Mytilus edulis: one gene and its partner. The protein of the gene in region 2 purifies or fractionates together with the protein of the main gene of each other region. This does not show direct contact. Links are inferred from orthologs where the notes say so. Each region holds a gene or a part of one and is shown on either strand. Other genes may lie near its edges. The genes, in order: signal recognition particle receptor subunit alpha-like and signal recognition particle receptor subunit beta-like.

Evidence for each region.
Region 1: the proteins of signal recognition particle receptor subunit beta-like (region 2) and signal recognition particle receptor subunit alpha-like purify together in Homo sapiens (affinity purification with mass spectrometry; 6 studies listed by BioGRID and IntAct, counting the BioPlex papers as one, with this or other methods). This does not show direct contact. The link is inferred for Mytilus edulis from reciprocal best matches to the Homo sapiens genes SRPRB and SRPRA.

What each region holds. Positions count from the first base shown.
Region 1 is NC_092348.1:29,411,357-29,428,889, reverse strand, and holds the start of signal recognition particle receptor subunit alpha-like, read left to right. Parts: upstream 1-7,331; 5' UTR 7,332-7,400; coding exon 7,401-7,517; intron 7,518-11,285; coding exon 11,286-11,369; intron 11,370-12,801; coding exon 12,802-12,995; intron 12,996-15,209; coding exon 15,210-15,325; intron 15,326-15,816; coding exon 15,817-15,949; intron 15,950-16,648; coding exon 16,649-16,829; intron 16,830-17,350; coding exon 17,351-17,457; intron 17,458-17,533. Other genes in the region: upstream stimulatory factor 1-like, read right to left, coding at 6,953-6,984. UniProt on the Homo sapiens protein: Component of the signal recognition particle (SRP) complex receptor (SR). Ensures, in conjunction with the SRP complex, the correct targeting of the nascent secretory proteins to the endoplasmic reticulum membrane system.
Region 2 is NC_092356.1:41,359,985-41,377,517, reverse strand, and holds signal recognition particle receptor subunit beta-like, read right to left. Parts: upstream 11,628-17,533; 5' UTR 11,583-11,627; coding exon 11,459-11,582; intron 7,012-11,458; coding exon 6,920-7,011; intron 6,478-6,919; coding exon 6,403-6,477; intron 4,341-6,402; coding exon 4,258-4,340; intron 3,627-4,257; coding exon 3,567-3,626; intron 3,016-3,566; coding exon 2,884-3,015; intron 2,321-2,883; coding exon 2,107-2,320; 3' UTR 1,684-2,106; downstream 1-1,683. Other genes in the region: SH3 domain-binding glutamic acid-rich-like protein 3, read right to left, coding at 16,881-16,946. UniProt on the Homo sapiens protein: Component of the signal recognition particle (SRP) complex receptor (SR). Ensures, in conjunction with the SRP complex, the correct targeting of the nascent secretory proteins to the endoplasmic reticulum membrane system.

The DNA of each region.
Region 1 (17,533 bases), on a different chromosome or scaffold from region 2:
CAAATACCCCTCAATAACATGATATATCTGTTTAATTACACCGAATGTTAATGTACTAAAACGCATTGATGATCGTGACGTTACAAGCGTCCAGTCGAATAGAGTATTTTTTGGCAAATACCACGGCAGAGAGGGTAAAAAAAGGCATATCCTTTTAGCAAATACCCCGGCGGCATTAAAAATGAACGATATTCATTTGATAACAGTAAATTGGTGAAAAATACACTGGCTATTAACCAATCAAAACCCCGGATTCTTACATAAGGTGTAATTACAAAAGATATGGAGAAAAACAATCCATGAATTTGCATAAAGATTATGACACAAAAGCACCAAATATTGAAAATTTCAGGTCTTACAAATATGGGGACAATCAAACATCATTAAATTGCTTGAAATACAAAATGTAACTTGATTGACCGAGTGTTGGTTGCCTAAATGTTCAGTTGGGCAAAATTTCATGAATATTTAGAAGGATGAAATTACTTGAAACTATAGCTAGCTCAAAGCTTTTCATCAGCTGATGTAAAGTCATGGCTTCTTCCAATCTAATATATATATCAACATTAATTTGCGTTGTATAATTCGAAAGTCATACATGTACAGCTACATGTATTTAAAACAGACTAATTGAAAAAAAAAAACAGATTCTAATTAAGACTCATACCACAATTTTGATACATGTATGGATGGAAATTGGAAAGAGGAATATTCAATGAACTGTAAATGGTGCAACTACAATTACGCACAAAGGGAGATAACTCTAATTTTAAATGGAAGTTTTAGAGTTTAAAAAATATTTGGCCTAACATTTTTTTTAGACTCAAATTTTGGTAGCCCAAATAGATTTTAATGACTACAACAAAATACAAGATTTTATTAATTTTATTTATAAGTTAAGTGAAAGTATTATCCTCTGTGGGAGGGTTCTGATTCAAAAAAGAGAATTATACCTATACCTGTACAGAACAAAACAGAACAATGACCAAGTTAACAATGACATCACACATATGTTTGTACTAGATTCATGCACCATGCAAAACTAATGTAATGTTCTGGACAAGTTTGGTTTATAAACAATGTGCACTCACATCACATCTTCCTATATATCTATGTAGATTATTTTGCACTTTATATTAGGCCAACATTAAAAATATCTTTGTTTCCCTTCCCCGACTGAGGTTATCAGGGTAGGGGTAGGTAGGTAGGCAAATTATTTTATTTTATTTCTTGATATAATTTTTCTATATTGAATTTTTACAAAAATCAACAGGTAAGATAAGTCAAGAAAAGTGGGATATATATTCCCTGTATTCAGTGTACACCCAAGTTTTCTGGTGTTAAAAACAGTATACAGGGACCTCCTTTTTCCTATTCATTTTATGGTATGAAATCTACAAAAGCACACATTCTTCATGTGATAACAATGTTTAATGAAAGCAAGTGTTTAATAAGTTAAAAATCAAGCTTATTTCAAGTCTAACATGTCTAATTTGATGCATAACTCACAACAAAACAATTCCTGTGTTCACCAATTCATACCTTGATCATCAATTATGAGATGACAAAAAGATATGTTAATGACTTGGGAATTAAAATTTAATGAATAAAAATTTTCAATAGAAGTGAACATAATTCAGTTATGTTCAGTTACACATGCATGGATAACACCCCAAGGGTGACTGGGGTATAGAAATATGGTCACTTGGTCTTCTCCCGACCGGCAGTAAAACGCTAGCCGAAGTGGGGCGTCCGTTTGGATGTGCGGGATTTATCAAGTTCGCAGTCACGTCCGGTCAGAAGGGGGATGTTAAATCTGATGCCTCGTGTAAAGAGAGTGCCACGCTCTTTGCACGTTAAGAACCCTTGCAACAACTCTTTGAGGGGTCCGTAGGTGGCCTGTTGCAAGGCAAAATTTCTGTCCCTATCCAATATACCCACAATTTCCAGTGGCAGTCCAAATTCCCCCGACCATCATCCCAGATGGCCTCTATCGTATTCACCTACCTATTGTATTATTTGTGAACTTGTTCTCGTCCTGAATATGCATGAAATATTTGCCACTGGACGTTAAGCAACCAACAATCAATCAATCAATCAATCAACATGCATGGATCATGCAGCTTGGTCAATTAATTCCTAAACAAAGATTTGTATGTTTTTTCGAGTTCTAGAAAAAACAAGGCTTCACTTATTCATGTTTTGTTGTTCCTAGAATACTTTTGAGTATTTACAAATTCAACTTGTGTAAGTTATAACGTAAAACGTGCCCTTTTGTAAATTTCATGCCAAAAAATGGAAAATAAAAACACATTTTAACTGGTCTTGTTTACACCAGAAATCAAGGAGGTTCCCTGAAAGCAGGGAAATCATGTATCCAACATTTTCTGACTTGTGCCCAACCTGGTCGAAGTCGAAGACAAAGTACTACTAAGTAGATTGATTTCAAAGCACAATTCAGACCATTTTTACTCAAAGATTTTATCCTTTAAACAGGAAAAGAGGTAAAAGACAAAGCCAATCAAGGTGCACTCAGTGGGTTGAAAGATGCTTAAGATTTTATTTTCAAATATCACCCTTGCACACAACCATGACAACACAAATCGTGTGGCAAGGCATTATGTTTGTTTTCCTCGATTCCGAATCATATTGACGCTTCAATGCAAAAATGCCTTGATTTAAAACGCTTGTTGACTACAGCATCGGAAAGGTATGACCAAAAAACCAATGCACGTTTACTACAGCATCAGAAAGATATCACCAAAAACCAACATAGCAACAACAAAAAATATGTACAAGAATGGCCAATAAAAATTTTCGAGTCACTGCGATTTTACTGGGTCAGTTGGGGGAGGGGAAACAAACAATATTTTATTTTTGGCCTTAATATCAGAGTATTTATTTCATCAATAAGGATGTTCAGAATACTGTGCTCACTGCACTGTTTTGACTTTTGTGTATCTTGAAAAAACAAAATGTAGACAAAATCAGGAAAATTGAAAACTATCAAGGCAATCACATATTGGTTTTGGATTTTTTTATACTCCCAAAAAGTGTGGAAATCACTTTAATATCAATTCACAAAGTGTACAATATTCAATGCAAGGTACAACTTACACAAACATACATGTATGTAAGATATCAAAATATTTAGATAATTCTTAACATCTGCTTTCATTGTATAACACCTTTTGTAGGACTTTATTTAGAAATTTTTGATTTCTGAAGAGCAAAAATTCCCTTTAAACAATAATGTCCATTTATTAGTCTACTGTACATGTTCTATTACAAATTAATAGAAAATGGGGATTTTGTGGTTAATCCAGACAGCAGCCCGTTTTATAGATTTTCATATAATCAATGTTCTTTTTCCTTATACTTGTATTCTCTATACACAGTCAGGGGACTTACTGATGTAAGTGATTTTTAAATCACTTATTTGAGTAGCAAATTTGAAGTTTTGTCTCAAATTTTGATTTTGTAATTTTAACAAAATTTCAAACACATAGGTTTAAATAATATCTTTTCATTAGTAAAATTGAAAAAAAATGTATTTTTTGCTTCTTTTAAGTAGCAAGGTTTATGCCTTTAATGCTATCATTTAGCTGCAAATTCTATTTTAGTTGAAAAAATGCTGTAATAATGGCTTTACATAATGAACTGATACTTTCTTGTCAGATTTTTCCCAGCAGTGGTAGTATTTTTCCTGTAAAGTTCAAGGTTTCATCTTTCAGATTATGTAATAAAATTCTACTGTTCACGATAAAATTATTTCACTGTTCGAGGGTGTTGAAATTAGTGGGGGTTATTAAAATAATGATACTTAAAGAAGTGATTTTTGGGAAGGAAATTGAGGTATGATACTTAAACAAGTGATTTTTATGTCATTATCCTAGATTCAGTACAAGGTCATCACCTGAAATGACCTGGTCATCCTGGACAACACAGATGTTGGTTCTGATAAGTTTAGAAACATAATTAGTCCCTGGATCATTAGTATTCTATATTTAAAGCTACAGTAAAATTAAATCACTTCTAGTGATTATTTTGTACTACTTAAATAGGTGATTATTGAAGAAAGACAACTCTTAATTCCAACCTAAATGAAAATAATGCTACTTGAATCAGTGAATTAGAAAATCACTCATTTAAGTAAAGTCCCCTGACTGATACATGTATGCCCCTTGTGGTCTCTTAATTGGAAATAAAATATATCTTATCTTATTCAACATTTTATTAAGCATATTGGTTATATTGATTGATTGATTGTTCGTTGCTTAACGTCCAGTGGCAAATATTTCATGCATATTCAGGACGAGAACAATATATTGGTTATATATTACTCGCTTGTTAGTACCATAACATGTTAGCAAAATGGTTGTTAAGAGTGTATTACAAATGTATTTACAAAAGTTCTAGCCAACCAGTGCCACATACATGTAGTTGTATGCTAAGTACCAAATTGTCCAATAATAGCTAGAGTAAAATGGGAAAGGCTGTTTATTTTTTTTTTAATAAAATTTTATGAAATTTATATTTTGTATTGAAACAACAAACTGAATTCATAATCTTAAAATTTGATATCTTACCTTTTCATATTAACTAATCATTACATAAGCAATGAATATAGTCATTGATAGTACAAAAGGAATAACAATTTGAGAGTAAGTGTTTTATAAATAATATATGAATGTCATGCATGTCATGATGAATCAGAATGTTGGAAAATTTTCATTTTTTTTTTTATAGATTTAAAATATAATTGACTCACAGGTTTATAGGGTAAAACACTTTAATCTTTATTCTACATTAATACAAGGTCAGTTAACAAGGATGCACAATATTGTAAGGGAAAATTTAGCCGGTTCAGATGGTTGAAGAAGAAAAAAAATAAAAAAAAGGATACATGTCAACTCGTACTTTCGGCAACTCGTACTCAGCCAACTCGTACTTTCGGCAACTCGTACTTCTACCAACTCGTACTTCTACTAAGTCGTACCCAATATTTTTTTAGCATTATAATATAAGTTTTCTACGTTTATATCAGTAGATATGGATATTTTAACTCCCTGAAGTATCCCAGTGCACCCTGAGGTAGATCCATAGAATATGAAAAGGATATTTTTTACTGAACATTGCGTTGAACATGTCTTAGTTTTTTCGTGTTAGTAGAAAATATTTTTAACATTATAATGCTTCATATTTTATTATTCACCTACTGATTTATCTACTGATAGGATTTGTATCTGAAAAAAAATCCTCAAGTGTCAAGGTGTGCTCGATCCTTAGAATATTTGAAGAGATTTTTTACTGAATATTGCGATAAACACGTTGTTTGTTGATGTGTTAACACTTTGTTTTTGTTTTTTTTTTTTAAATAAGTATGGCAGTCAGTTCGTTTTCCGTTTGAATTGTTTTACTGGTCATTATAGCTGACTATGAGGTATGGGTGGGTTTTGCTCATGGCTGAAGGCTGTACGATTACCTATAGTTGTTCATTTCTGTGTCATTTTGGTCTCTAGTGAAGAGTTGTCTCATAAGCAATCAGACGAGATCTTCAAAAAAAAAGGACTTTGTGGCAAATAAATCAAGATTTTTATAGAAAATCCACAGCCTTTAAACACAAACCTTAATACACAAATTATTTATTGCAGTTCGCGTGCCGGTGATTAATTGATTGATGATTGCTTCACACCTGAAGTATGTCGATTACCAGTTAATCGGCCCTTAGTCACACACGAAGCGTGCCATTAATTATTTAACCGTTATCAAAACAACTTCACACCTGATCTAATCTTTCTGCATGTACGTATTTTAAAATGTATATTTCATCACAATACTACTATCATTTATATACGTATTGACCTCAATTATGATAAAAGTTAAAATAAAAATTAAGCCAATATTTAGAAGAATTACGAGAGGCGTATTAAAAAAAACCACTAGTATCACTATTATTTACACACACATTGTAAGACATTTTTACAAGGCTTTGTTGCTATTAATAATAGTAATAAGGGTCCTACAAATACAGCTTTTTGAAATATATACTCTTATTGGCCCCAAACATGGACCAAATAACAGGATTAGTGGAAAATATTATTGAGATACACAATTTATATATCGTCTTGCATACATTACAACGTGGACGAACCATGATTGCAATTGAAGATGATCATACATTTCACCATAGTTTATATATTTTTTCTCTAAGCTTGGTTTTTACAACGTTTAAGCCATGCATTTTCTTTTCGGTGAGGATGGTGATTGTTTAAGTATAACTCAACGGCCTTTGATGATCATAGTGCCGCACTTATACCGATTTTTTGTTTTCATTTACTTCTCTCTGTTTATTCTACTTTTAACAAATCCATTCTATTTTTGTAGGTATGTTATCCACTAATGACCACTGATTAGCATATGTGTACTCATAATTATTTTAATGTGCATATCAAATAAATTGCCGTGCAAACAATTTCAAACAATCAATTCTAAGGAATACTAATGATTATAACGATTAGCATTTTATAAGCTTATTTAAAACAATTATGATTGAGTTTTATTAACAATGAAAGTTGTTTTTTTATTTGTATTTTGCTATATAATGATATACGAAAGAAAGTTACAATAACTATGCATAACTTGATAAATAATATCAAATAAAACATGGTTACGAGTTGGCAAAAATAGGGTACGAGTTGGTTGAGTACGACTTGCCGAAAGTACGAGTTGTCGTGTACCCTAAAAAAAAAGTTACAACTGCACTTAATAATCAGTCAATTGCTTTACCGATCTTTATTTTCAATTTAACTTTAATATATAATTTTAAATGCAAAATTTAGACAGAAGTACACAAAATTTTTACTTCAGTGTCGCATTACAAAATTGTCATGCAAGCAATCATTGGTCTTTTTCGTGCACTTTAGTTGAAATTCCGAATAATTGAACCGACCTTGCTTCCAGTGCTTGATCTAGCATATCCATGTGACTTTTTGACGATCGTTTGAATTTGCCAGGAATATAGCAAAAGTTGATCACGGGGCCAAACAACAGGTCATGTGAGATGCGAATTGAACATGTGACAAAAATGGCCGTTCTTGCTGAAAAAGTGTGCGGAGAAATACGTCTAAGAGTGCTTTATTCACCGTAGGTAAATTGCTTTTAGTTTTCTTTATTGTTATGAATTAAGTTTCTAAATTGCTAATTTATGTTAAAACAAAGGTGATATATTTATAATTTACATCAATGACAAAATTACAAAGACTTATATTTTACAACTTTTTTTTATCGCGCAGTCTTATTGAGAAAACAGATTCGGGAATTCCCGATGATTTTCGATAGTTATCGGCAAAGTTCCATTTCCGGCGGTCGTTGAGACACATTTTTGAGACACTTTCAAGATGTTAGACTTTTTTACGATATTCAGTAAAGGTGGGATTGTTCTTTGGTGCTTTCAGGGAACATCTCAACTGTTTACACCAGCAGTTAACTCTCTAATTAAGACTGTAATACTTCAGGTGAGAAAAATACAGAAAAAGTAACGTAGTAAATACTACACGTGACGTGACGTGGGATGTAAACATATGGAAAATTTCAAATAATTGCATTTCTGTTAAACTATAATTCTTGGTTGTATTTGTTAATACCTTATATGTTACTCACCTGTCATATGGCTTGACCATTTTGAAAATTTATTAGATAATCGTATAAGTTATAGGTGGTGATAATATTACTTGTCTTATGTCTTCATACTTTATACATTTTATAGTTTTAACATACTTTATTTATATACATTTGTCAGTGTTCCAGCTAGGCCGTTTTCAGAGGGCGCGGCGCCCGCCCTTTTCCGAGTGGCGCCCTGTGCCCTTTTTACAGTTTCCAGGGCGCTCTGCCTTTTTTGAAGATCGATTGCATATTAATTTGCGTATTGATATGATACGCTAATTACTAAATTTTACCTGGGGAAAAGATTATGACTTTGTTTACCACCCCAAGCTAATCAATGATTACAACTGGTGTCATAATCTGTTGTTATAGGTAATCCGTTTATCGGATGGGTCATTAATGATCATCAACATTAATTCGTTCAAATAGAAAGTTCAGTCGGCAATTATCTTTGAAGAAATGTGCATACAACAACTTGGGCACAATTTGCGATGTTTACCGTAGTTTCATGGAAGAAACGTAATGACAAAAAGTTGGAAAACCATTATAAACTCGTTGAAGACATTGTTTTACTTGTTTTCTGTAAAATAAACAGAAAATTCAGACGTATTTGTCATTGACTGCCTTCATTTTTGATACGAAAATAACAAAATCCGCCTCCATATTGTGATCATATTTACATCATATTTACGTACTGTTTATAATCCTCCAAAGAAGGAGCACACCCGAATAAAGAAAGATAACTCAATCTGATTTTTTTCCTAGCATTGAGTAACCCATTTACATATTCTAAAATGTGTCTCCATACTTCTTGCTTAAGAATATATATGTTTAGGTATTTATTTTGAGTTATGGGAAAAGTTAAAGAGGGTCTTAGTAGCAGTGTTGGTAGGGTGCCTTGGTCATCTTTTTCTGTATTCTTTATTTTTGATACTATTTTTCACTGTTGCTTTATATCCTAAAATTGTGAATTTACTGAGCATTGAATTTACTGAGCACAGCTGTTTTGTGCTGTATTGCCATCAAGCACAGCAGGGGTAGAAAGGTGAAACTGGTAAAATGTGGTAGACCATAGAAACAGTATGAAACAGATCTCCTTTCAAAACATACTGCATATAAAGTTCAACTGTGCCAAGCAATGATAAAAAAACTTGTGTGACAAGCTGCTTGACAACTTTTTCAGCCTTAAAAGTAGAAAGATAGAGTTCTATATGGGCTAAAGATGTTGTTCTTGTATAACCTGTGATTCAACGAATAAACACAAATGTTTGATTAACATCTTTTATTAAAATATGCCCTTTTCATATTATCATATCGCGCGTTAAATGCCCTTTTTCAGGATTGGCACCCTGCCCTTTTGAAAACCTAGCTGGAACACTGTTTGTACTATAGAGTGCTGGAGGTCAAGGGTTCCCTGTGTCCTAGCATTCCCTTTGTGTTGGGTGGGAATTGAATGTCCCTGTAAAAAATTGTCGTAAATGTTAATGACACATCTCCGTTAATCTGGATAGGGAGTGTACATTGTACATGTTCCACTATACCGTCACAGCTTTTAAAGGGTTCTTCTGATAACAAGAAATTTATCTAGTATATACATGTATATACATACATACTACAGTTGATTGGGAAACAAGTTATTACAACTTATATAAATCACTTTCCACTTTACTTCATACTTGGTGATTTTACGTAGATTCTGTAACTTAAAACCTCAATCAATTTTTATTTACCATCCACACTCAATTTTCATTAATTTTCTTTGTGAGCAGGAACACATACATTTATATATATATTGACATGGACCTATTAACACTACCTAATTATAGCTGATTTTACTGTCCGGTTATAGTTAATAAATTGCACGATGTGGAAATGGACATGTTAAACCTATCTAATAGTTTCTGATATTAATGCTATCTTTAAATGTCATTTAAACTAAGTAGTGAGTGATGCCAGTGTATCAAACTTGTAATTTGTCACTTTTTTAGCTCAAAAGGGCCAAGTGAGCTTTTCCCATCACTTTGCGTCCGTCGTTAACTTTTACAAAAATCTTCTCCTCTGAAACTACTTTGCCAAATGAAACCAAACTGGGCCACAATCATCATTGGGGTATCTAGTTTAATAAATATGTATGGTGACCCAGTCAACCAACCAAGATGGCCGCCATGGCTAACAATAGAACATGGGGGTAAAATGCAGTTTTTGGCTTTCCACTCAAAAACAAAAGCTTTTAGAGCAAATCTGACAGGGTAAAATTGTTTATCAGGTCATGATCTATCTGCCCTGAAATTTTCAGATGAATCGGACAACCCGTTGTTGGGTTGCTGCCCCTGAATTGGTAATTTTAAGGAAATTTTGCTTTTTTTGGTTATTATCTTGAATATTATTATAGATAGAGATAAACTGTAAACATCAATAATGTTCAGCAATGTAAGATTCACAAATAAGTCAACATGACGGAAATGGTCAATTGACCCCTAAGGAGTTATTGTCAATTTTTAACAATTTTCATAAAATTTGTAAATTTTAACTAACATTTTCCACTGAAACTACTGGGCCAAGTTCATTTTAGATAGAGATAATTGTAAGCAGCAAGAATGTTCAGTAAAGTAAGATGTACAAACACATCACCATCACCAAAACGCAATTTTGTCATGAATCCATCTACTTCCTTTGTTTTATATTCACATAGACCAAGGTGAGCGACACAGGCTGTTTAGAGCCTCTAGTATTTTTTTAAATATCGTTAATTTCATCACATAACTTTATTAAGGGTATAGAACGCAAATGAAGTAATTGAAAAATAGCACCAATGACATTCCGTATTTCACATACCATAATAACAGGGTTACGCCTCACATCAAATAAATCACTCTTTAAATCGGATCATATTTGGTCATTTTTATCATAGGTCGCGAAATCTTTTTTCCCTTTGTGGTCCTTGAAGAAAATCTGCAGGTCCTCACTTTTAATTCTATTGAAAAATACTAAAATTGTGTCAGTCCTATGTCAAAATTTGGTGGTAAAATCCTGAGGACCACCACTTTACGCGAACTCCGTTTTATATGACAAAAATTTCTACCTTATGATAAAACTTGTATTTCATGTATTTATATAAATGTTTGGAACTACGTGGATAATTTTATTTATTGAGCAGGTCTGATAGTTTTTCAGTCAGACACCATCAAAATCCACAAATCTTGTGAAGTCTTGTCAAGATTGATGTTTTTATCAATTTTATACTGAAGATATGCTGTTCCAGGCTATGAGTGAATATTAAACCCCCATTGAACAAAACATTTTGATAAACAAGGTGAATTCGACCCTGACCATACTTTTCATTAATTTGCCCACTTAACATGCTTAACACCAAAACTTTATTACTTATCCCACTAATCATGCTAATGAAAAGGCATTACATCCGGCTGAACTTTGGTCTGTCAACTAGTCCCATTAATCAAAAAACATTAATTCCCATTAAGTTCAATCCCACTAATTAGATAAAGGTCTAGACAAAAAAAATTGTGTCTGTTTACTATGGATCCTAAACAGGCTGATTTCAATAATTATGTCTCCCGTTTATTTTACAATTACTGAAAAAAGTTTGATTCTATTTTCAGGAAAGAACTGGGAATAATACATATACACATGAAGCTTTACAGTTGAAGTATAAGCTTGATAATGAATTTGAATTGGTTTTTGTGGTAAGTTTTATTATTATCAATTATAAAATGAGATGTAAGTAATTCAAGTATAAGTCAATGAGACAAAAAAATATATATACATGTACATGTAGGTTAATAACATATCAAATCAAAAGACAAGTGTCTAGATACGTTGTATAAGAAGATGTATTATATATAAGTGCCAATAAAACAACTCTCCATCCAAGTCACAATTTGTAAAAAGAAAACCATTGCAGGTCAAAATACAGCCTTCAACACGGAACCTTGGCTCACACTAAAATGAAAGCTATAAAGGCCCCAAATCATGCAAATATTACTAGTATAAAACCATTCAAACAGGAAAACCAACTGTTTAATCTGTATAAAAAACAAGAAGCCAGAAACACTGTATAAAAAACAAGAAGCCAGAAACACTTATGACAATGTATGAACCACATCAACAAACTACAACCACTGAACAATAGGTTCCTGACTTCAGACTGTACAGTTTAAATACTGAATTGCCCAGAATCTAGAAAACTTGTGCATAATTTCAAGGTCTAAATAAGACCTGCTCATGGTGGTATAACATCTGCCATCAATGACAAATCCTTAAACGACATGCAAGACATTAAGATAACCATAAGACAATCAACCATATGGTTCCTGACTTAGGATATGAAGTGGGATAGTTGATTGTAGTAAAATTACTTTTCTTAGCACTCAACCTTTGTATTTTAATCTGTATAAGAGGAATAAGGTAAAATACAAGAAAAACAAACAATAACAAACTAGATTAGTAACAAACAGGATTACTAGTACTTTGTCTATGAAACAGGAGCCTAAAGAATATCAAAGTGAGACAAAACATAACACAAATAATAGGCAAAAAATGGATTGTCAAACAATAGACATACAATGCACAAAATGTCTAACCAGCGACCACAAACATTGACAAAATCAAATGTACAACTGTCTCTATCATCTGGAATCTTTATAACAAATAATGAATGAAGAGACATCCCCAAGTGTTTATGAGAAACTGTATGAATTTACAGCTGTTGTCCTAATGCTAGCTAGTTTTAAATGCTCGGTTAGCTTGTTAGCTTTATTTGTATTAAAGCTTGTCCAAGCATTGAAATTACATGTAAAATTGATATCTGCAAACAATATAAGTAGGTTGAGTTACACTAATATATATGTCCAATCAAATTTAAATATAATGTAAACAAGTTTAACTCCACATTTTTATACTGTTTTCAGAAGTCAATCTTTTAAATTTCAAAGCTTGAGCAAGTATTGATACAAACAAAACAATGAAGCATACCCAACCTTTAACTTTCTAGCATTATGATAACAGCTGTAATGTTTAAATGTCTTCTACAGGAGTGTTGTATTGAACAATTTTATGATTAAATATTTAAATATTTTAAATGTTGTGCATTCATCTGTGTTATATTTTATAATTTAGGTGGCTTATCAAAAGATATTACAGCTGTCTTACATAGATAAGTTCTTGACAGACATACAGATGGAATTCAGAAATAAGTACAAGGATTGTCTTACTGATGGTTTAGCGTGTGGCACCTTTAATTTTAAGGGATCATTTGATGAGATTTTGAGATTTAACGAAGAAGAGAGCAGAGCCATCGCCAAGTCTCAGAAGTAAGTTTTAAAAAATGAATCTGGATATTTATAGCAGATAACTGAACATTCATTAGGCCAAGATCCTGCTTTATAGAAATTTTGTCTGTCAGACTAGTCTGCCCTTAAAGGAGGGTAATTTACCTAGCCTAATAATGACTTCACAGTTCAGCTAGCAAGCAAATTAACCAAAGATATTACTTTTACCTACACACACATTGCATTCTGCTGTAACCTGATTTCTAACTTAGGAACATATGATGAACAAGAGATCCAACACTTACAGTCAATGATGACTTCTCTATCTGATGTTCTTTTAATATATGGAGATGATTGCTAATGAGACAACTCTCCACCAGAGACCAATTAAAAGAAGTTGTAAGCACGAAAATTATCAGTTAAAATGTCAGGTCTACTTACAACAGGAATACACTATTACTGAACTACATATATCTGTCATTTTATGATTTAAATCATGTACAATGTATTTGCAAATTTTGAAAAAATTAGATTCAATTATATTCATGGGTACCAACTTTTATGGATGGAGTAATAGAGTTTTTTTTTATATGACCGCAAAAATTAAAAATATTTTGGTCGTATATTCATGATATTGGTATCACGTTGGCATCGTTGTCTGCGTCTTTGGCGTCCGAATACTTTTAGTTTTTGCATTCTAACTTTGGTAAAAGTGAATAGAAATCTATGAAATTTTAACACAAGGTTTATGACCACAAAGGGAAGGTTTGGGATTGATTTTGGGAGTTTTGGTCCCAACATTTTAGAAATTAGGGGCCAAAAAGGGCCCAAATAAGCATGTTCGTGGTTTTTGCACAATGACTTTAGTATAAGTGAATAGAAATCAATGAAATTTAAACACAAGGTTTATGACCATAAAAGGAAGGTTGGGATTGATTTTTTGGGAGTTTTAGTCCGAACAGTTTAGGAATAAGGGGCCCAAAGGGTCCAAAATTAAACTTTGTTTGATTTCATCAAAAATTGAATAATTGGGGTTCTTTGATATGCCGAATCTAACTGTGTATGTAGATTCTTAATTTTTGGTCCCGTTTTCAAATTGGTCTACATTAAGGTCCAAAGGGTCCAAAATTAAACTTAGTTTGATTTTAATAAAAATTGAATCCTTGGGGTTCTTTGATATGCTGAATCTAAAAATGTACTAAGATTTTTGATTATGTGCCCAGTTTTCAAGTTGGTCCAAATCAGGATCCAAAATTATCATAAAGTATTGTGGAATAGCAAGAAATTTTTAATTGCACAGTATTCAGCAATAGCAAGAAATCTTCAATTGCACAGTATGGTGCAATAGCAAGAAATTTTCAATTGCACAGTATTGCGCAATAGCAAGAAATATCTAATTGCACAATATTGCGCAATAGCAAGAAATTTTCAATTGGAGTTATCTTTCTTTGTCCAGAATAGTAGTTGAATCAACTTAAATCATTGTTTTATACAATATACAATGTATATTCTCTTTTACTACCAACTGATAAATTAAAACAATCTTTACCATTCAGTGATAACCAGCACTTTTTTTACATTTTAATATTTTATGATGTATTTAAATGAGTGGCTATTGTTGCAAACTCCATAAGAAATTTGAATTGAGATCAGTTTTGGAATAAGGGAAACGGGGATGTGAAAAAAAAATTTGGGGTTCAATTTTTCTCATTTCAGATTTCATAAATAAAACGAAAATTTCTTCAACATTTTTTTGAGAGGATTAATATTCAACAGCATAGTAAATTGCTCAAAGGCAAAACAAATTTTTTTTTTAAGTTCATTAGACCTCATTCATTATGTGTCAGAAACCTATGCTGTGTCAACTATTTAATCACAATCCAAATTTAGAGCTGAATCCAGCTTGAATGTTGTGTCCATACTTGCCCCAACCGTTCAGGGTTCAACCTCTGCGGTTGTATAAAGCTGCGCCCTGTGGAGCATCTGGTTCTATGGTTATTGCAAACTCTGTATACGTATACAAGTCAAAGGAAATTTGAATATTATGTGGAACCTTTAAATCATGGTTTACCGATACCATTAAAATCCATGAAAATGAAAATCACTATTAGTATAGTTTGGTTTTGATTGTTATTGTCTTAACATTGCACCTTATTATTACTTTCTTGGAAGTCAAAAGATATAATTATATAACATGTCAAATGTCAGAAAGTAATTATCAACGAATGGTTAAACCAAGTTTATTTATTTGTTTAGGAAAATGAAAACTTTTGATGAATCTTTAAAATCTAAGAAGACTGTGTCATCAATGATAGAAAACAAAAAAGAAGAAAAGAAACCAGCTAAAGGAAAGGAAAATAAACCAGTCAAAGGTATATATAAATACATTGTGACCTACACACATGTATTCTCTTCTAAAGACCATGCAAATAATAAACAGGGAAAAAAAGTAAAACACCTGTATTGTTAATTTATTTTGATTGGAAGAAATTAAAAAGTAAAATAACAAAAATACCTCATGTACCTAACTCCAAGGAAAATTCAAAAAGTTTTTGGTCGAGGTAGTTTGTGATGAAGTTGATGTCCAATCAACTTGAAACTTAGTACACATGTTCCCTATGCTATAATCTTTCTAATTTTAATGCCAAATAAAGAGTTTTTACCCCATTTGTCAAAGTCCACTAAACATAGAAAATGATAGTGCAGATGGGGCGGGGCGTCCGTGTACTATGGACACATTCTTGTTATTTAGGAAATAGGTAATTTGAGTCTATGGTTACTAAAATGTTTGGTTGTTTATTATTGCAATTATTGTTATTGTGAACATTGCTGGAGTCTTGAATGCATTTGAATATTATTTCAGAACAAGTTGTTAAAGAAACTGTGAAGAAAACTGAACAGACGGCTGCAGTCTTGGGTGAAATGGACGAACTAACTATACAGAAAAATAGAGAAAAGATGTTTGCTAAGATGTCTGGAAAGAAACCTGTTAAAACGTAAGTTAAGATAGCTGACTTTATTAATAGAGCAACTGATATATTGTTCACATTTCTATTGATAAAGGCTTTATTCATGTATCATGAAATTCCTAACAAAGAAAATGGAATAACCACAAATAAAATTGTATTCTTATTAAATTTTCATTTTGAAGACAGAATCTATAATATTGAAAAATTGTATTGTAACTTTTGTATAGTCATATTGTTCAGTTAGTTTTTGGCTGAAGATTGCATGCAATGCATTCAAACTGCTTCCTTATGTAACTGGGTTGTATCTGTATCTCCCAGGGGATAGTTTAAACAAAATAGTGCAGTATGGTGTACATTTCTTAGTTCCTTTTCAGTCAATGAAATGCAATTTATTAATTATATGTTATACTCAGACATTTAAGTTACAATAGGGTATGTATTTAAATAACTCAACTTGTCAAGAAAAATCGTTTTTGATAAAAATTTCACAAGGTATGCACTGTGTTTGAATCCTTTATCAAATTTTATTTAACTGCAAAACTACAAAGGAAGATAACTCCTATTTAAATTTATAATTTGCCCAACTAAATACACATTCGATGTTTAATTAATAAAAATCACATTTTTAGATGAAAGGGAATCTTTACCCTTCAGTGCTCACAAGGAATTGGATTTTTAACTTGTGAGCACTATTATTCAAAATTTGATGTTATTTTTCCTCTTCAGAGCCAGTGCCAGTCCAAAAGCAGAAACACCAAAGAAGAAAGGAAAACAAGCTACTAAATGGGAAATGGGAGGAACCAATAAAGATGCAGTGTCTCTTGATTATAGTTCTTTAAATGGATCAGGAGATGCTACTATTAATGGAAGTATGGAAGAGAAACATGGAACACCATCTGCTGAAGAAGTAAGTCTTCACAATTTATGGGCATAGTATTAAAGGAACAAATTTGTAGATTACAGACCTAGGAATATTTTTTTATGCCACAAAGTTTTACACTTATCTGTCATTCACTATGTGAGTTGTCCATATTGAGTAACCATTTTAACTCCAGTTTGGTTCTGCTCGGTTGATTTGTTCCAAAATTGCAGACCTTTGATTCTGAAAATTCTATGTCTGCATACAAGCCAATAAAAAATTTAAATTCATGTTTCACCTGTACTCATAAAACCCAAGAAAATCATTCAAGCAGATGAAAATCTGCCTTTTAATAAGGAAAAATGACAAGGACTCTTCTTTTAAAACTTTCTGAAGATTACAAGAAAATGGCCTAAATGTTGTCAAGATCCATAAAATTTCAATGTTGTAGAACAGAATTCTATGCTCCATTGTTCATTAAGTTGTACTCCGCTCTTATCTTTACGAAAATTACTCCTATAAATCTCTTTTAGAAGATATGAAAAATTCATTTCATGTTATTTTTGTAGCAACGATGGGTAGGACAGATGAAAGGAGGATTGAGAGATTTAGATGAAGAAGAAAGTGAAGATGAAGAAGTAGAAGAAGAGAAAGGAGTTCAGGAGTCAGTCAAGAGGTAAAAAATCAATGGGAACATTTTAATTGCATGACCTTCAGAGGTTACTTATATTGATTAAAAAATAAACAATTGT
Region 2 (17,533 bases):
GTACACACATCTATCTGGCAGGGTTCATCTGACCTTGACCTAAATTTACATTGATCTTTGATAATGTTGCATTTATGCGATACTTGTAGTAAAACCTTTATATTACAGTTCTTCTTTAAAGGCATGCAAAGCAAACATTGAATGTATGCTAACAATAGGTAGGTGAAGTTTTAGTCTGGTTTACTTATACTGGGATTTGATTGGACAATAAAAATTGACATTGAAATCAAGTTAATGTTTATTGTCCAATCAAATTCCAGTATATAGTAAACAGACTGTAACAGACTACCTACCTGTTGTTTACAAACACCCAAACAAACATAGCAAGCAAGTTGATCAAAAGATTGCTTTGCATGCTTTTATAGAAGAGCTGTAAAGACTTCCAACATTACTCAATTGTGAATGAGTAAAGCATGTGAGACATTTCAGCATGTGCACTCTAGCTATAGAATTTGAAGTTCTGAGTGAGCTTTGGCTCATCTTAAATTGAAAGTTTAACAAGACCAATACCAAATCTGGATCTGTTTTGCTGCATGTATTTGATTGAGGTTGCATATATACTGAACTTAACTGAAGTACAGCTGATCATTCCCTTTCATAGATTTTTTTCTTGTACAGAAAGTGTATAAATTTCAAGCTAATATCAAACAAGAAGAGGCTGCAAGGCAAATGTCAAAATTGCTTACACACTATAACTCATCATTTTCAAAGCAAGCTGGAGACCAAACATATTTTTGTTCCTTTGATACAAGCCAAGAAACCCTGGACCAAAAAATTTCCTTTTACATTGAGTGTTGTTATATTTCAAACTATTGGCAATTAAAAAGTGGCAGATATAAAATTGCTGACATACTGCAACTCATCATTATCAAACTACAGACCAAATAAAAATCATTCCATTCAAAACAAGCTACACTACTTTTAACCATAACACATTATTCTACAACTGGCATGCAAATGAATCCAGAAATTAATGCTGAAAAATTACTTTCTTTCTCTAAAACGAGATGCACCACTTCAGAGTGTGTCAATATTTCTTTCGAGCTTGAAGGGTTTGTTGAAAAGTGTAGGAGTGTATACAAACTATTGACAATCTCTTTTGAAAATTTTGCTGAAATACAACTAGGTTCCCAAATCTTGAAAACAAGAGAAAATTTCTCAAACAATTCCATAAGAACAGGTTCACTACTTTAATGGTTGACATTTGAAAACTTGAAGTTGGATTACAAGTTGCTACATGTATCCTCTTTTCTATTCCTGACCATTCAAACTTGTTCCAGTTTTGCTCTTTGTGCAATTAGGTAAAAAACAAAATTACTTATTTACTCAGAAAATGTATGGTCATTTTTAATTTCAGACAAAAACTCCATGAAAGTGACGAGTATTTGGACAAATGATATGCTGTCATCCAGCTTTGAACCAAATACCTTAAAAAATTTGTTTTAGCATACAATTACCACCTTTTTTTTCAAATGGATGCTGTTGTTTAAATGTTACCCATATACATGTAGCTCAAGCGATCTTTCTGGGCTTATTGTGTTACAAAAATAGGTACTAGAATTCATAGAATTGTACTAAGTAATCTTGGTCAATTTGCTTGTCAGGAATTTGCAATAATAAAAGCACACCTTGATCTATGCATTAGGGTCCATACTTGGGGTATAGGTCTAATAAATTAAAACATTCCAATTTCAGAATTTATTTCTCCTTCCAGCACCAAACAAAATATACACAATTGACAATTTGAGTATCTTCCCTTACAAATTCTGACTGTCTTTAAAAAAAACTAAAGTTTGTACAAATTGAATGACTTGAAAACTTCTACAAAATTCAATCAATTACTCTTAATGCCTTTGGTTGTCATAAAATAAATGATAATGATTGATCTCTATATTTTAAGAATACTCTAAACATGCTAAATATATGAGCATTGATTAACAAGTGGTACTTAAGTACATTTTAACAAACACTATCCATTTAAACTACAAACACAACATGTATATCCTTAACAGTTCTTCTATAAAACAAACTTGGTTTTAAACACACATTTGATTTGTCAGGTATACAAAACTTGCATTCATGAATTTTTGAATAACCAATCAAATCTTAAGCTATTTTTATCAACCAATCTTCAAGGTCCTTCATTTCTGGTTTACTTTCAGCATTTTTACCCTTCAAGCTACATTCTACAAAGTCAACTTTCATTGGTTTCAAATCATCAAAACTGAAATCCTTGTTACGTTTACCAAGAAATGTATTGTTGTTTCCCGAACTTTCGATCTGCTGCAATGAGGCTGACCTTGTTACTCTCAATGTGTTCCTAAAATATCAAAAATATAGGAATCATTTGTTTGATCGTCAAATAAATAACTTCTTCTATATCGTTTGTGATATTGTAAGTGGTTTTGGCAAGTGTGAGATTGCTCTGACATCTGACTATCTAAGTAGTTGTGATTTTGTAATCTTTCTTTTTAAATAGCACTTGTACACATGGGAGCTAAATTATGCAAAAATAGGGATTAGTAGGAGAATAATTGTTACATGTTCATGGAGTAATACAAATTGGGAATCCAATATAATTTGGTTCCTGAGATGAGCATTTAATCTTAATTAGACTCATCAGTGGTGCTTGATTTTAATCAGTTAGAAGACCATGGCCAAATCTTAAATTAACAATAACTTTACAAAAATTGAAAATTCATTGACTTGTCATGTCAACACAAATATGCCAGGTACTGAGTTGGCTATTCAATTCAGGACAAATCCTCAACCAGTAGCTTATCTGACTATTAAAATTCCCCACCTATTTAAATCAATCAAATAAACTTTTTATTGGTGATTCAGTGTTAAAAGATGTAACACATAAGCAACACAGGTACTTACATTTCCTTTTCTAATTGTGACCTAATGACCTCAGCTCCTTTAGACGTTAAAAGGTCCTGCTTATTACATGCTATCAATACAGGTGGGATATTGTATGATATAACGCTGTCACTAAGTGCTGTGTATAGAAAACTAAAAATAAAATATAAAATATTTTTTACAACATGTCTGAGGTAGTAATAAATGACATCAGTTGATCACTTCCAATTGTTCCATCAAAGAAAATCTCAACTTTATATTTCACAAAAAATTCAATTCAATAGAGCTTTGTTGTTTTAAAGTTTTCACCAAATACAACTTCATTTTATAATACATTCAATTAATTTTGTTATCTATTTGATCAAGGATATGCCAATAGAAATTGTCGAACAAATATGATTTTTATTATTTTAAATTTTTTTAAGTGATTTTTTATTCACTTTTCTAATAAGACAAAAAGAAAAACAAATTTCTAGTTCTGATCTTAAATATGTGAAAATAGAATTTTTTTTTTATCAATATGGTTACTGTAACAAAAATTCCTTAAGGTTAAATTTGCAATGATTTTTGCATGTTACTGTTACAAAATTACCTCTTCCTTTTCATTTTGCTATCGATTTAAAGAGTAATTGTCATACTAGTGTTTACTCTATTTTCATCTTTACTGACAGATTTCAAACATTTATTTTTCAATATTAACTTACTCGGCAACGTCTTTAATTTCTTTCTGTAAGGTTGAACTGTCAATCATAAATATTATACCCCTGGAAACAAATAAGCAAAATTGTACATATGCTGACCATTGGAATAAATTGAAAATTTTCAACCTGGGTTTTTAACCTTAATATATTACATAACTACATAAACAAACAGTTCAAAGACACACACTTAACCTTTTTAATCCTGTCACATTCTGTATGTGTCTGTTTCAAGTCAGGAGCCTGTACTTCAGTGGTTCAACTTATCGTTTAATGCTGTATATCATATTTGTTTTTCATTTATTGTTTTTTAACATAAATCAGCCATTAGTTTTCTTGATTGAATTGTTTTATATTTGTCATTTCAGTGCTTTTTATAGATAATTATGAAGTATAGGTTTTCCTCATTGTTGAAGGTCTATGGTTATTTTCGGTTGTTAAGTGATATGTCATTTGGTCTCTGATGGAGAGTTGTCTCAATGGAAAGCATACCACATCTTCTTATTTTCATATTTAAATTCTTTTGTTGGATATTTCAAATTCGAAAACAAATATTTGACTTATCAAAATATAACAGGTTTTAACAGTAGACAGTCTCTTTGTAAAAGGTAAAATTTAATACAAAATTTCATCAATCAAAACTCTGATAAAAGTCACATGATATCTGGTAAAAGTTTACTTATGGCTTATACTTTACCTTGCTAAGCTTTTGTACTGGTTTAGCATGGTCTGTCTTAATCTTTCATGACCTGGTATATCAATTATCCTTAAACTTTTATTCTGCAAATAAAAAAGTGAAATGTCTGGTAAAATTTGATATACAAGTGTTTTTATAACAATAGCTTTGATTCTGACAGTACGAGAAACAAATAACTCAATACAGTAATTAATAGAACTTAATTATAATAAATTTCAACTTTTCTTTCCTCTAAACTAATATGTGAGATTATACTGTGGCCAGTGCTACTTTTCATCATTTATTATAAACTGTGAGCTACTTAACTTTTAACCATAAATGACCAAATATCAAAAAGCCCTGATTTTTAGTGTCTTTAAATTATTTTTCTTAAACATTCATCCATGTGAATAAAATACATTTATACTGCAAAAATTAGGATCTGAATATGGTTCCTTTCAAAGTACAATGTATAGAATAAGATATTAATATGACACATTGGTACCTTATATCAACAAGCTCAACTTTGTAGTTGTTGTTTAAAATACAACAAAAATGTGTTACATTATGGATTGACAAGAATGACAGAGGGTAACCAGTATATACAACCCTCATTTGGAGTTGGGTATAGTAAATGTAAAGGCATACATGCATGTTTTCAATTAATTATCATTTACATATTTAGAGTTGAAGAAATCCTTTTTTGCACTATCATATACATTGCAAGGGTCCGGAAACGGTCATATTTGCCAGTCATGTCCTAAACTGAAACTATAATGTCCTAAACTTTTAATTGGGATTTAGGTCAAATTTTATTTTCCTACATTAATAATTTCGGTCATTTCGTTGAGATCGACTTTCAAAATCGCCATTTTGAACATATTTTTGTTAAGTTAATGACTTCCTGTAATTAAACTGCCACTCCAATAAAGTGTTATAATCCTGAGGGCCCTCCTAATAACTATATTAATGCCTCGGGGAGCTATTGGCTAATGATTGCTAATTAATCTCTTTACCTGTGTTTTTAATTCATTGTAATTCACACCTGGCAATTAATCACAAGCTCCAAACTATTATTATAAAGAAATAAAAATTCCATACCAACTGGCTTCAATATTTAATTACTCAACAAGTCAGACAATTGTCAATTATGATTTAAAATCAAATTAAAACTTGGTTTAATTTTGTAGAATTTTTTTTTTTTTTACTTCTAACACACGTGCTTTGTTTACTATGTAATACGCATGCTTGAAATTCTCTTCCACAGATTTAGACAATTAATCGTAAATTTTAAATAATTTCATCCTAAATAAAGCCAGTGCAACTACTTTAATTGATATTCTTACACTATTAAAGATAAAATATTAAAAAGCCGATGATTTCCTGTGATTTGGATAAACAAAACTAATCCCGGAAATGAGTCCGGAATTGTTCGTTTTAGTATTGTCGCAGTGCATCCGGTTTGAATTTTGACTTCAGAATCGAAAGAAACGTAAGCTAAACTGAGAATATTATCGTTTTGAGTCATTAAAATCATTTTATTTTTAAACTGCTGCCTTCCCTTAATTGCCCTTGATCGATTTTTGGAAAATGGTAGGACAAATCATGAAGTAAATGCGATGCAACAGTGAAACAAGTTTGTTGATGCTACGAACATGACGATCGAGTATGAGCATACTCATAATGAGTCTCATGCAGTAATGTGATTTTGGCAATCATCTTTTGAAAAGGGGTATCAACTTTTAAGTTGTATGAAAATGACCGAAATTAGGTGAAAAAATTTCCGGATCCTTGATACATTGTACAAATTTTTCTGACAGGTTTGATGCATAATTTATATATATCCCTTGTGACATTTTAATGGTATTAATATTAAATCATAACTAATTTATATTTACAAAAGTATAGCAGCTATTAAGTCATGTAAGTCACTCATTTTGTATAACAAACTTTAAATTTGACTGTGCTGTATGTACATGTACATTGAAATCTTACAAATCACAATTAATGTTTCTTTCAACTTGACCTTTACAAACACTAAAGGAATTTCTTAAATGCTTGCAATATGGTCATGCAACTCTAAGACACATATCTGCAGTAGTTTACCTCCCTTTAATTACCTATTGGGTCATTAAATAAAGCAGAACTATTTTGTATCAACAGTACCTTTCCTTGAACTTGGTAACTTCCAGAATTACTGGCTATTGAGCTAAAGGTGTCTGTGTAATTCTGATGAACAAGCTACAAAACAAAAAACAGTCACAGTAAAACATGGACATACAATTGCAATGTACATGTATTAATGTTCACAATATGTACATTTTAGTACAATTATAAAAGCATCTTTACAAATGTACCACTTTGCCACCTCTCTAATTAATTTCACATAATAAAGTAGAATACTTTTGACATTTAGAAATTAGTTCTTGTTGCATTCTATAAGGACGCTCAAAAAATTGTTGAAACTTCAAAACTACATAGCTGTAATGAGTTTCAAAAAAACCAAGAGGAATGTTTGTATTTATAACTACATAGCTGTAGTGAATGGTGACCAAAAATTCTTTACATCCAACCAACTTATATGTAACTTATAAATCTAACACAAGAGTTTGTGATGCATGGTTAGATTTGGATCCAATAAGGTCTGTATGTTGAGTGTGTTGTTTATATGTTTTGTACCTACCCTGGTATACAACAGAGTTTTCCCTGATTCACATATTCCCAGCACCAACACACCACTTCTCTTATTGGATTTTCCTCTACAGACAAGGAGTACTGAAAATAAAAAGTAAATTATTTTACATGAAGGTTTAACAATATTTCAGGATTTTGTTCAAATTTTTAAATTCATACCAACCATACATTTTTTGTACCTGGATTTCAAGGTGCAGAAGATAACCACATAAAATCATGAAAAGCCCATGCTGTACATTGTAATAGGCATACATGTACTAAAAATGTTAATATTGGAGGAGTGTTGCAATTTGTTTTTTAAATACAAAATCGCATTAAAAAATAATGTTCTCATTCAGTATTTGGGGGAAAAAATGATATAACATTAGGGAGCTACCATTTAATTTTTATGGGGGGGGGGGGGGGGGACTAGGATGACAAATTTTGTCCTGCATTTTTTTTAGCTGTAATCTCTGTCCTGCCTTTTTATTTTTCACTCTAATCGGTCCTACCTTTTTTCTTTTAGTTTATCCTGACTTTTTTTACCTAAATTGTCGTCCTGACATTTTTTTTTTGCAAGTGTCACATTCTGCCTTTTTTTTTACTCAAAACTCCTGTCCTGCCTATTTTTTTCAAATTTCATCCTAGCTTCCCCATAAAAATCAAATGGTAGCTCCCTTAAGACAGTGAATCTCTACTTATTTTTTATAGTTACATGTAGTATATCTACTGGTATGAAGGGGTAGAGCACTACAAACCAGTAATTGACATACTAAAGATACTATTCCTGACTTAGAAAGTAAACTTTTTCAATACATTGTAGTTCATTTGCTAATTGCCTATTTGATTGTTATTATACACAGTCATTTAAAAAAATTGCTTTCCTTTGTTCATCCTAGATCTGTACTATTCCAAACAAAATTGGTTTTAGTATGCGTAAAGTATGATCAGTTGAAAGTGATAATTTTAATCAATTTGAAAAAAAAAATTCTGATATAAAAATATTTTAGTTTATCAAAAATCAATTTAATTATATTTAATACGGTGATTTGAAAAACTTTAAGGGTTACACTCATTATGCGCACAATAATTTGCTCTTTCTACTAGCTCTCTTTTCTCAATGAAAATGTGTCCCTGCTAAGGGAGACAACTAAAAAATTGATCTCTGATTATCGGGTCAATTACATGTACATGAATTGGCAAACAAGACTATTAATCGATTATGAAGGTTGCAAGTACTTCCTTCCTCCTTGACATATGCAGTACACACACCCCAACAAGTTTCCTCATTTACTTATCTGAATCAACTTTAATTGACAATTTTTATCAAATTAATATTTTTTCATATCATAAAATACATCTTTGAGTACATGTATACTGACTTTTTGTCACAAGAAACTTGTTTTCAAATCTTACAGATATAGACAAAATTTGTGATTTGTGGTAGTGATAAAAACAGTCTAGATCAACTCAACCATATTTCTTTATAAAAATCTACCAGAAAATAAGGAATATATCATTTAACTAAAGTTAAAGGGGTTAATTTTTTCTGGTTTTTTTTCTTCATTTTATTAAGAGGAAGTGGTCACTTCAAAATGCATTAAAATTTATATGTACATACATGTATATCCAGGAAATTGAGCAATGTCTTAAAACTTACGGCTGCTGGTGCACTTGTGAGACTGTAGTAAAGAGTTATAAACAAGGCCATATTTGTCAGTAGTTAATGTTATGATCCATAATAATTCCTTTTGAAATCTGAATGAGGAGTAATTTTCTGAGTTGGCAGCCCTAATACATGTCATATATAACCAGTAAAGAACTTAGGATAGGGTTTAAAATGGTGGCCATTTCACATTTTGCAAAACAATAATAATTGTGGCAATTAGAAATTAAGAAATACAATTGTTTGAATTCTGCTATCTTGTTAAATTTGCTTCAGGTTTCTCAGACTTTTTCCTTAATGAGACAATACTCGTCATTTCACCTTTTAACAGAAATAACAGCTGAATGCATTTTGTAGCATTTGGCAACAATGGACTTAAATAATGAAGGTATTATTAGTATGGCTAATGAAAACATGTGGTAAAATGGCTGTACACGTCATCCAAGCTAAATACTGTTATAACAACTACAAAATGTAATTGTTTGAAGAAGGTACTTCACATAGTTTTATTTACTTATTTTATGACTCAATTTTTACTTAAGGGGTTAAAGTATCTATAAGGATAATCTCTTATTTTATTCCTTGTCCTTCAACTAGACCATGTAGACAGGACATATCGGACTGATGATAAACTGAAGTTGAATCCTGTGTTCCCAGAAGTCAAATTATACAGTATCATTAAAAAATTATGAGAATTTTTTGTTCAAAATTAGAGTTCATTTATTATGATGTAGGTTATAAAATAGATATGTACACAAATGTAGAATAGTAATTAAGAAAATTTGCAAGGGTTCCACAAAACCCAGTGTCTAGTCTACTTTTGCTGTTAATCGCAGGCTCAACAAAAATGAGGAAAAAAACCAATAAAAATATCGATTGTAAGAAGCTTCTGTCCAAGTTGGGTAAAAATTCAGGATAGTTTATGAATCTAATTAATGTTTTAAAAAACTTTAACTGAAAACTACATGTAAGTCCATTTACAAGTAAAAAAACAGATGTATACACAAGGACAAAATTTTAACAAAATTTCCTTCTAGATACTAGATTTTGATCATGAACGAGCTTCTGTACAAGTTTGGTACAAATCCAAAATAGTATAACTGTATAAGAAAGTTATTAAAATTCGAAAAACTTTATCCACAGAGTGAATATTTGTGGCCGACAACGACGCCGACTGAATGTAGGATCGCTATGTCTCGCTTTTTCGACTTAAGTTGCAAGGATCGACAAAAACAACAAAATCGTTCAATTTTTTTGATGTCATGTTTTTTAATTCCTGCATCTGCGCAAAAATCTACAATGTTCTTCCTTTTACCGGTCTGGTTTGTATGAAACTTTGAGTAAAATATATATTTATCAGTCTAGTATAAAATAGGAATGAACGCAAAACCAATTTCATTTTTAATTATTCCTTGATATGAAAAAACGTTACATGATGATAGCATTTCTTTGTTTACATTGCATATGAGTCATAACATAAGTAACGTCACAACTAAAATCCCTAACAATAGAACCAAAATCGGAAAGGTTACTGTATTTCTGTTTGTCCCCATTTACAGGTAATGTGCATGCATTATGCCTGCCTCATATTATAGGGAATCAATAAAGTGTGACTTGAGCGGGCACCCTCTTAGGCAGTCAGTGAGCCCCACTAATGAAAATTTCAGGATCCGCCACTGTAAACTACATTATGTATATAAATCTTCAATCTTCAATCTTTGTCGTGATGACAGAGTAATCTCTCTTGTGAATTACCCTCTCTTGTAAAATTAATTTCACTAATGTAGTTTCTCCTTTGTACTTAGATATTGTAGGTGGCTCTTTAAAAATATTATAGAACTATATAAATGTATCACTTGAAGAAAAAAAAAAAGGTTAATTAGGTTATTGGAATGGCATGAAAAATTAAAAAATATTAAAAATTAAAAGAAATTTGTATTAAATTAAATTATCCACTTAAACTGTTTGTTTCCTCTATGTACTCCGCTAATAGTTGACTGATATTTTCTGCATTTGGCAAATTGATTGTTAATAAATCGTCTAAATCTGTTGGAATTTGTCCTGTTATGAAGTATATTTGATGAAATAATTTGTCTCTGGCATCTGATTACAGGTCACATTCAAAAAGGTAGTGTTGTACATTTTCTTTTTCTTTGCAGTGATCACAGGTTTCCGAGTTGATGTGCTGGTTTATTATAAATTGGTATGCATTTAATTTAGAATAACCTGTTCATAAACTGTTGATTATGTTGTACATTTTTTTGACGGGTAGTCTTTTTTTACTTTATTTTTAACTTCAGGATGAAATCTGAAATAATGACAGCCAGCATTACTGTTTTCCCATCTGCGTTGCCATTTTTTTGTAACAGAATTTCTAGCTGCTTTTTTTACATCTTGTTTTGTATACACTATGTCATCAACTGCTAGTGATTCTGCTTCTTTAGCAGCTTCTTTTGCTAGGGAGTCTGCCTCATCGTTTCCTTTTATGTTGGCATGTCCTGGTGTCCAGTTTAAGTTTATTAAAATTCCATGTTCATTTAAATTTTTTATCTTCCCTTTGATTTCGTTAATGGTTTGATGATAGCTGTCACTTTTCCAATTAAGAGTTAAGATACCTAAATTATGCGGTCTGACTGTCCGAAAATAAAGTATCAATTTGCTGTTTTGAAAAAGATTCTGTGTAATCGAGTACAATTTTCATTGCTATAAGTTCAGCTAGCAAGATTGATCCTTTGTTAGAGACAGGTCTTTTTAATTTTTCTTCTTGATTATTAATGTAAATTATAGCTCCTGCACCGCATATAAATCTGGATAAAACATATGGCCACATTTCTTCACGCGATTGCAACATTAACTTGGGTGAAATAAAATATCATGTGTTACCTATTGTAAGCAAAACAACTAAGATTGCTACTATGATGCCTATGGTAGTTGGATCCTGTTTCTGGACATTGTCAGTCAATATATTTGCGTACTGTAAAATTTGTTCCTGAATGCTGGCTCCCATGTTGTCAGTCAACGTCAACTTCCGGTGTGAATAATATTAAGACCAAAGACGGAAATGTAAGCGTATTCCGATTTTCCATCGAAAAAAGACGTAAAAAGGCGGAAACAACCGAACATGTCCGAATATGTGAACGTTTCTGAGTATAGGATCTTTACGGATCAGACCAAGAATTTGTAAAGCGACGCTATACAAATCCTTGATCAGACTCACTTATTTTCATTTGCTCTCTGTTATAGCTTACGCTTTTTAACACCATAAACAGACTAATATATTTCACTTCATATTCTCAACCAAACCTATCATGAAACAGATTTATTCTAGAAATAGATATGTATATATTATACCGTATATCCATAAGCATTGGCGGATCCAGGGGGTTCCGGGGGTTGGAACCCCCCCTTTTTTTTTGGCCAATCAATGCATTTGAATGGGAACATATAGTTAAAACCCCCCTTTGTCCTGGGTTGGGACCCCCCCCCCCTGTTTTTAAATGGCAGGATCCGCCCCTGATAAGGAATATACTTACAATACTGTTGGAAAGTCATTTAGGATGACATATTTTGGTATAAAATATTGATTCACTCATTGGGTTTCACATTTGCATAGGAAATAAACTGAAATTTTATCACAAAGCAGCTGTTGGTATGATACGGATTATGTTCTTCTCATATATTTTATGATGGTATGATACCAAACCCCTAACGAGAGGGAATGTGCTTGATTTTCACATGATAAAGACCTAATTTTTCTATCTGTTTAATTGAGGTGTAGCTGGAGCTGGCATGTCAGTGACTGCTGGTTAGTCCTTTGTTAATATATGTATCATTGTCACTTTGCAAAGTTTCTTTTGTTACCTTTTCTGACATCAGACTCGGACTTCTTCAGTTAAAACGATGTTTAAATAGTTACTGTGCGTGTTGTTATGTGTTTCTTTACTCTACATTTGGCTGGAGGTTTTAGATGGCTCAAACAAACATGTTTAACCCTGTTGCATTTTGCGCCTGTTCTAAGTCAGGGGCCTCTGGCGCACGCCTTCGTTAGTATTGTATGCTTTTTTCCCAATTACATTCTCAAATTGATGTTTTGTCTAGTCTATTATAAAGACTTGTATTGAAAGAGGCCTTTATCACATTACCATTCGATCGGCTTGTCCCCAATCATCATTTTGTATTTCTTATAGCAAAACCGTATCATACTTGTTTTGAATAGTTGATATATATAAACAAACACGATTGAATAGAAAACTTACAAAATTACATGACCATGACCAAAAATTATTATTTTGAATAAGAAACTAACATTTTTATCCGTTAAAAAGATCCGAAAACAGGAAACTGGAATATGCGTCCAATTATAACTTTATTTGTAACACCATTCACACAATTGGATAAGGAAACTGACACTTTATGACCACAGTTTTTAAAGTAGTATATTATCATAAATCTATTGCATCAACAGTTGCCAGTGTAGCAAATAATCCTTATCCAACATAAGACTGTAAAATGTCAAACTTTAGATATGATCCCTTTTGTCATGTTATAATAGTCTAATATCATTAGTCAGTTTTGTTCATTGGTTGTCGCTTGATGGTGTGCTTCATTTGTTTTTCTCGGTTTTTTTTATATATATTAGACCGTTGGTAATTTCCTGTTTAAATTGTATTACACTAGTCTTTTGTTGCCCTTTATATCTTGCTGATGATCGGTGTGAGCCAATGCTCCGTGTTGAAGGCCATACTTTGACCCATAATTGTTTACTTTTCTGGATGGAGAGTTGTCTTATTGGCACTCATATGATGTCTTCTCATTCAGTCTACTCAACCTCATTCAGCGTCAATAGGTTGTAAACTAGAAAACCAAGTAACCAAATATGATATTTTTTTATTGTTAACATTGATATAAAATTATAAATACAGAAATCCGATATACATAACTAATTTCAATTAATATGAAAATAAGAAGGTATGACATATTGATATATCAATATATGCAGTTCCCGGATTAGACATAGGCTTCAAGTTATCGGAAAGCATTTTGTGTGAATACCAGTCGACAAAGCAGACAGCAATGAGGTAGTGCCTGACACAAATATTACGCTAAATATTGTAATATTACCTTGTCTTATCTCATTATTTACTCGGAACATTTGAAGGGCCTCGCTGTATTGGCTTCGTAAATAACACACAATTCTCGTCCAATATTGTTTCCTCTTAGCCCCCCTCTCTCTATATATATATATGGTAGGCGACCACTTGTTGTTCAGCAACCTATCGGTCTATCCCTTTGATAGATTCCCTGACTACTATTATAGAACTTGTTTGAATGATTATTCTAGCTTTAAGTAGAGTTGGTTGTTCTGGACTAATTAAGAGGTAGACATGCTGCTGATAACAATCTATACCAATTTTCATTTTTATGCCCAATTTATTGTTTTATTCTGTCTGTGCGTCCGTTCGTCCGTCCCTCTGTCCCGCTTCAGATTAAAGTTTTAGGTTTTTGATAAAGTTAAAGTTCAATCAACTTGAATCTTAGTACACATGTTCCCTATGATAATTATGATCTTTCTAATTTTACTGCGAAATTATAGTTTTGGCCCCAATGTCACAATCCACTTAACATATGAAATGACAGTGCGAGTTCGGTATCCGTGTACTAGGACACATTCTTGTTTTTCTCTGCTTTGTATTGACCAAGCTGAGCTTTTGAGCAACAAATGTATATTGATATCGTTAAATGAAATGTCTGACTAGATGCATCTGGGACCAAGTATATAGGATAGTTAAATGCATAAGTTCTTTTCATTGCCATAAAAATCATTGACATTTAAACCCGTAAGGTCCCATTTTTACAGATTAACCGTTAGTTTTCTCACTAAAATTGTTTATATATTTATTGTTTATGTCAAAGCCTTTCATAGCCGAATATATACGGTGCATTTTCCCATATTGTTGAAGGCCGTTCGGTTGTCTATAATTGCTTACATCCACTTCATTTAGACTTTGGTTAAATACTTGTCTCCTTGACAATCATAACATATCTTCATAATAAATATTTCAATAAAGAATTTCTATTCACTGTAAAAAGGGAAACAAGCGATTTTGAATTTAACTTATGTTGTTGCATTTCTAGTAAATTGTGTTTTCCCGTCATGGTTTGTAATGCATGTTTGTATATACACACACTAAATGGAGTACTAATACTGTCCAGTCTAATTATTATATATAGAGCTCTGATTTCGTTATACTTCATATGGAGTATAACGAAATCAGAGTTCTATATTTTAATAAGACTCAAGTATAATTGTCCTGTGTCTTTTTTGATTCAATAAAAAAATGTGGACGTATAAAATAAGAGGATTTGATATGATGGATGAAATAACCATCCCACCGAGTTTTAAACCGTGCAGCCTTCAACAATGAGATAGATCCTCAATCAAGCAAGCTACAAGTCAGAATAAGGGCTTTGATACTGACACGATTTGCATCTATTTTTCCGTTTGCTATAAAATATATTATAGGGGCTTTGCATCGGAATTAAACACATTTATTTAAAAATAAACAATTTTATCACAAATCAGCTGTTGGCATGACACGGGTTATGTTCTTCTTATATATTTTATGATGGTATAATACTGAACCCCTAACGGGAGGGATTGTGCCTGATGTTCATATGATGAAGAAATAATCTTTCAATCAGTTTAATTGAGGTCTAGAGCTGGCATGTCAGTAACTACTAGTAGTCTGTTGTTATTTATGTATTATTTTCTTTTGTTACCTCTTCTGACATCGGACTCGGACTTCTTTGGAACTGAATTTTACTGTGCGTATGGTTATGCCTTTACTTTTCTGCATTGGCTAGAGGTAATTTGGGAGGGTTGAGATCTAAACAAAACATGTTTAACCCAGCCGTGTTTTGTCCCAAGTTAGGAGCCTCTGACCTTTGTTAGTCTTGTATGATTTTTAATTTTAGTTTCTTGTGTGTAATTTGGTGTTTAGTATGGCGTCCATTATCACTGAACTAGTACCGGTATATATATATTTGTTTAGGGGCTAGCCGAAGGACGTCTCCGGTCTGGAGAGTTTCTTGCTACATTGAAGACCCATTGGTGACCATCTGCTGTAGTCTGTTCTATGGTCGGGTTGTTGTCTCTTTGACACATTCCCAATTTCCATTATCAATTTTATCACTTAGATTAAACTATTACATCAGTAAATTCATTAATTTGAGGTCTGTTAGAGAGTCGAAAGAGATCCAACTCTTAAATAAATCCGCGGCAAACTATACTTCGTCAAACATTTACAGTTTAGTTACATTGCTCATTAACCATCAGAATTTAGAACTATATAAGCTTATCGGAGAAGACAAAAAAGTAAAATAGGTAGTAAAAAATAACTGTTATTTTATTTCGATATAAGATTTTCACGATACAAAATTGTTAAGTCCATATTCAGTTCTACAAGCAAATGACATCTTTAAAAACAAATACGACACGGAATTGCATTTTTTTCTTATAGAATTGCACTTTATATATAAAAGTAGAAACATTTCTTTGTAGTTCTTGCATTCTTCAGCATACGTCTTCTAGCACATAACAGGCATCATTCACTGAAAATAGAAAGTTATCATCTGGATTTAACAATATCTTGTACAAATTGTGCATATTGATGTACCAACATATTAGTTATATTTGAATAATAAAATGCTATTAAAAGTAACTTTTATATTAAAAGTGCACCCTTTATTGGTATAATTGCTGCTTTTTCCATTAGTTATCAACGATGAACTCAGACACTGTACGATCGCATTTATGAAAATACCATACAAATCGAAGACTTTTATTTTTAGATTTATGCCGAATAATTTTAATAGCCTAATAGTTGAGACATACACATATTTAAAACAATTAGATGTTTAAAAAGATAATTATCAAGACCTGTCAAGTTAACTTTCAATTCGGGAAAGCATCAACGGCAAGTTGAAAAAAAACCAACGAATTTTAGTAGCTAGCACGTGTTATTTTTAAAATCACTGTCTTTTTATTCATTTATAAACAGTCTTTATAGGGAGTTATATATACTAAAAAAGAAGCGATTTTCAATTATATTTTTTCCTATTGTGATCTATTGTTAACATTATTGTTTTCTTACTAAACTACAGAAATTGTCTTGAACGACGTATCGCATATAATGTAAATAGTAATTCCATTAAGACGATGCTACTGATATTGTTCTAATTATAGACTAGCCTTCTGCGTATGTTACTTTAGAAAAGCTTACCATTTAAAAAATCATCCATCCACTCATTTCAGGAGTAAAAATTCTTGTAACGTTCCTGCTTCCAGTGCATCATCAAAGGATTGGAAATCCTAAAACAGTAATAAAATATTGAAGAAACAAGTCTACAGTTATTCGGACAGCATTACAAAACTTGAATACACTAGCTTAATTATGATGTATACAATATACCACTGTGATGTAATAATAGTTGTTTGCACCATCCTAATTTCTATGAGGGGGGGCAAGGGGGTCCCAATAACAGCAAAACAGCAAATTGATTTGCCTCATAACAGATAACAAGGAATTAACATGGACAAAAACAGATAACAGTAAATGAAATATTAAAATAATTCGGTCTTTGAAAAATCAGTATTTCTTATTACGGATATAATCCTTTGTAATGCATTCCATTTTCTATGACTATGTTTTTAGTATTAATTTATGTATCTAGAATGAGTTTAAATTACTACTCAATATATTATAATATTTTTTATACGCTCGTTTACAGAACGTTTTATGGTATACTGTTGTCCGACTGTTGTCAACGTGTCGGACATTAACTCAAAAACTCTTTAACCAATTTGCATTAAACTTTGAGAAATTGTTTATATCTATTGACGTGAGCTCCCTTTTTGTTTTTATAAATTTTAGATTTTAAGTTTCTGGGTAATGGGTT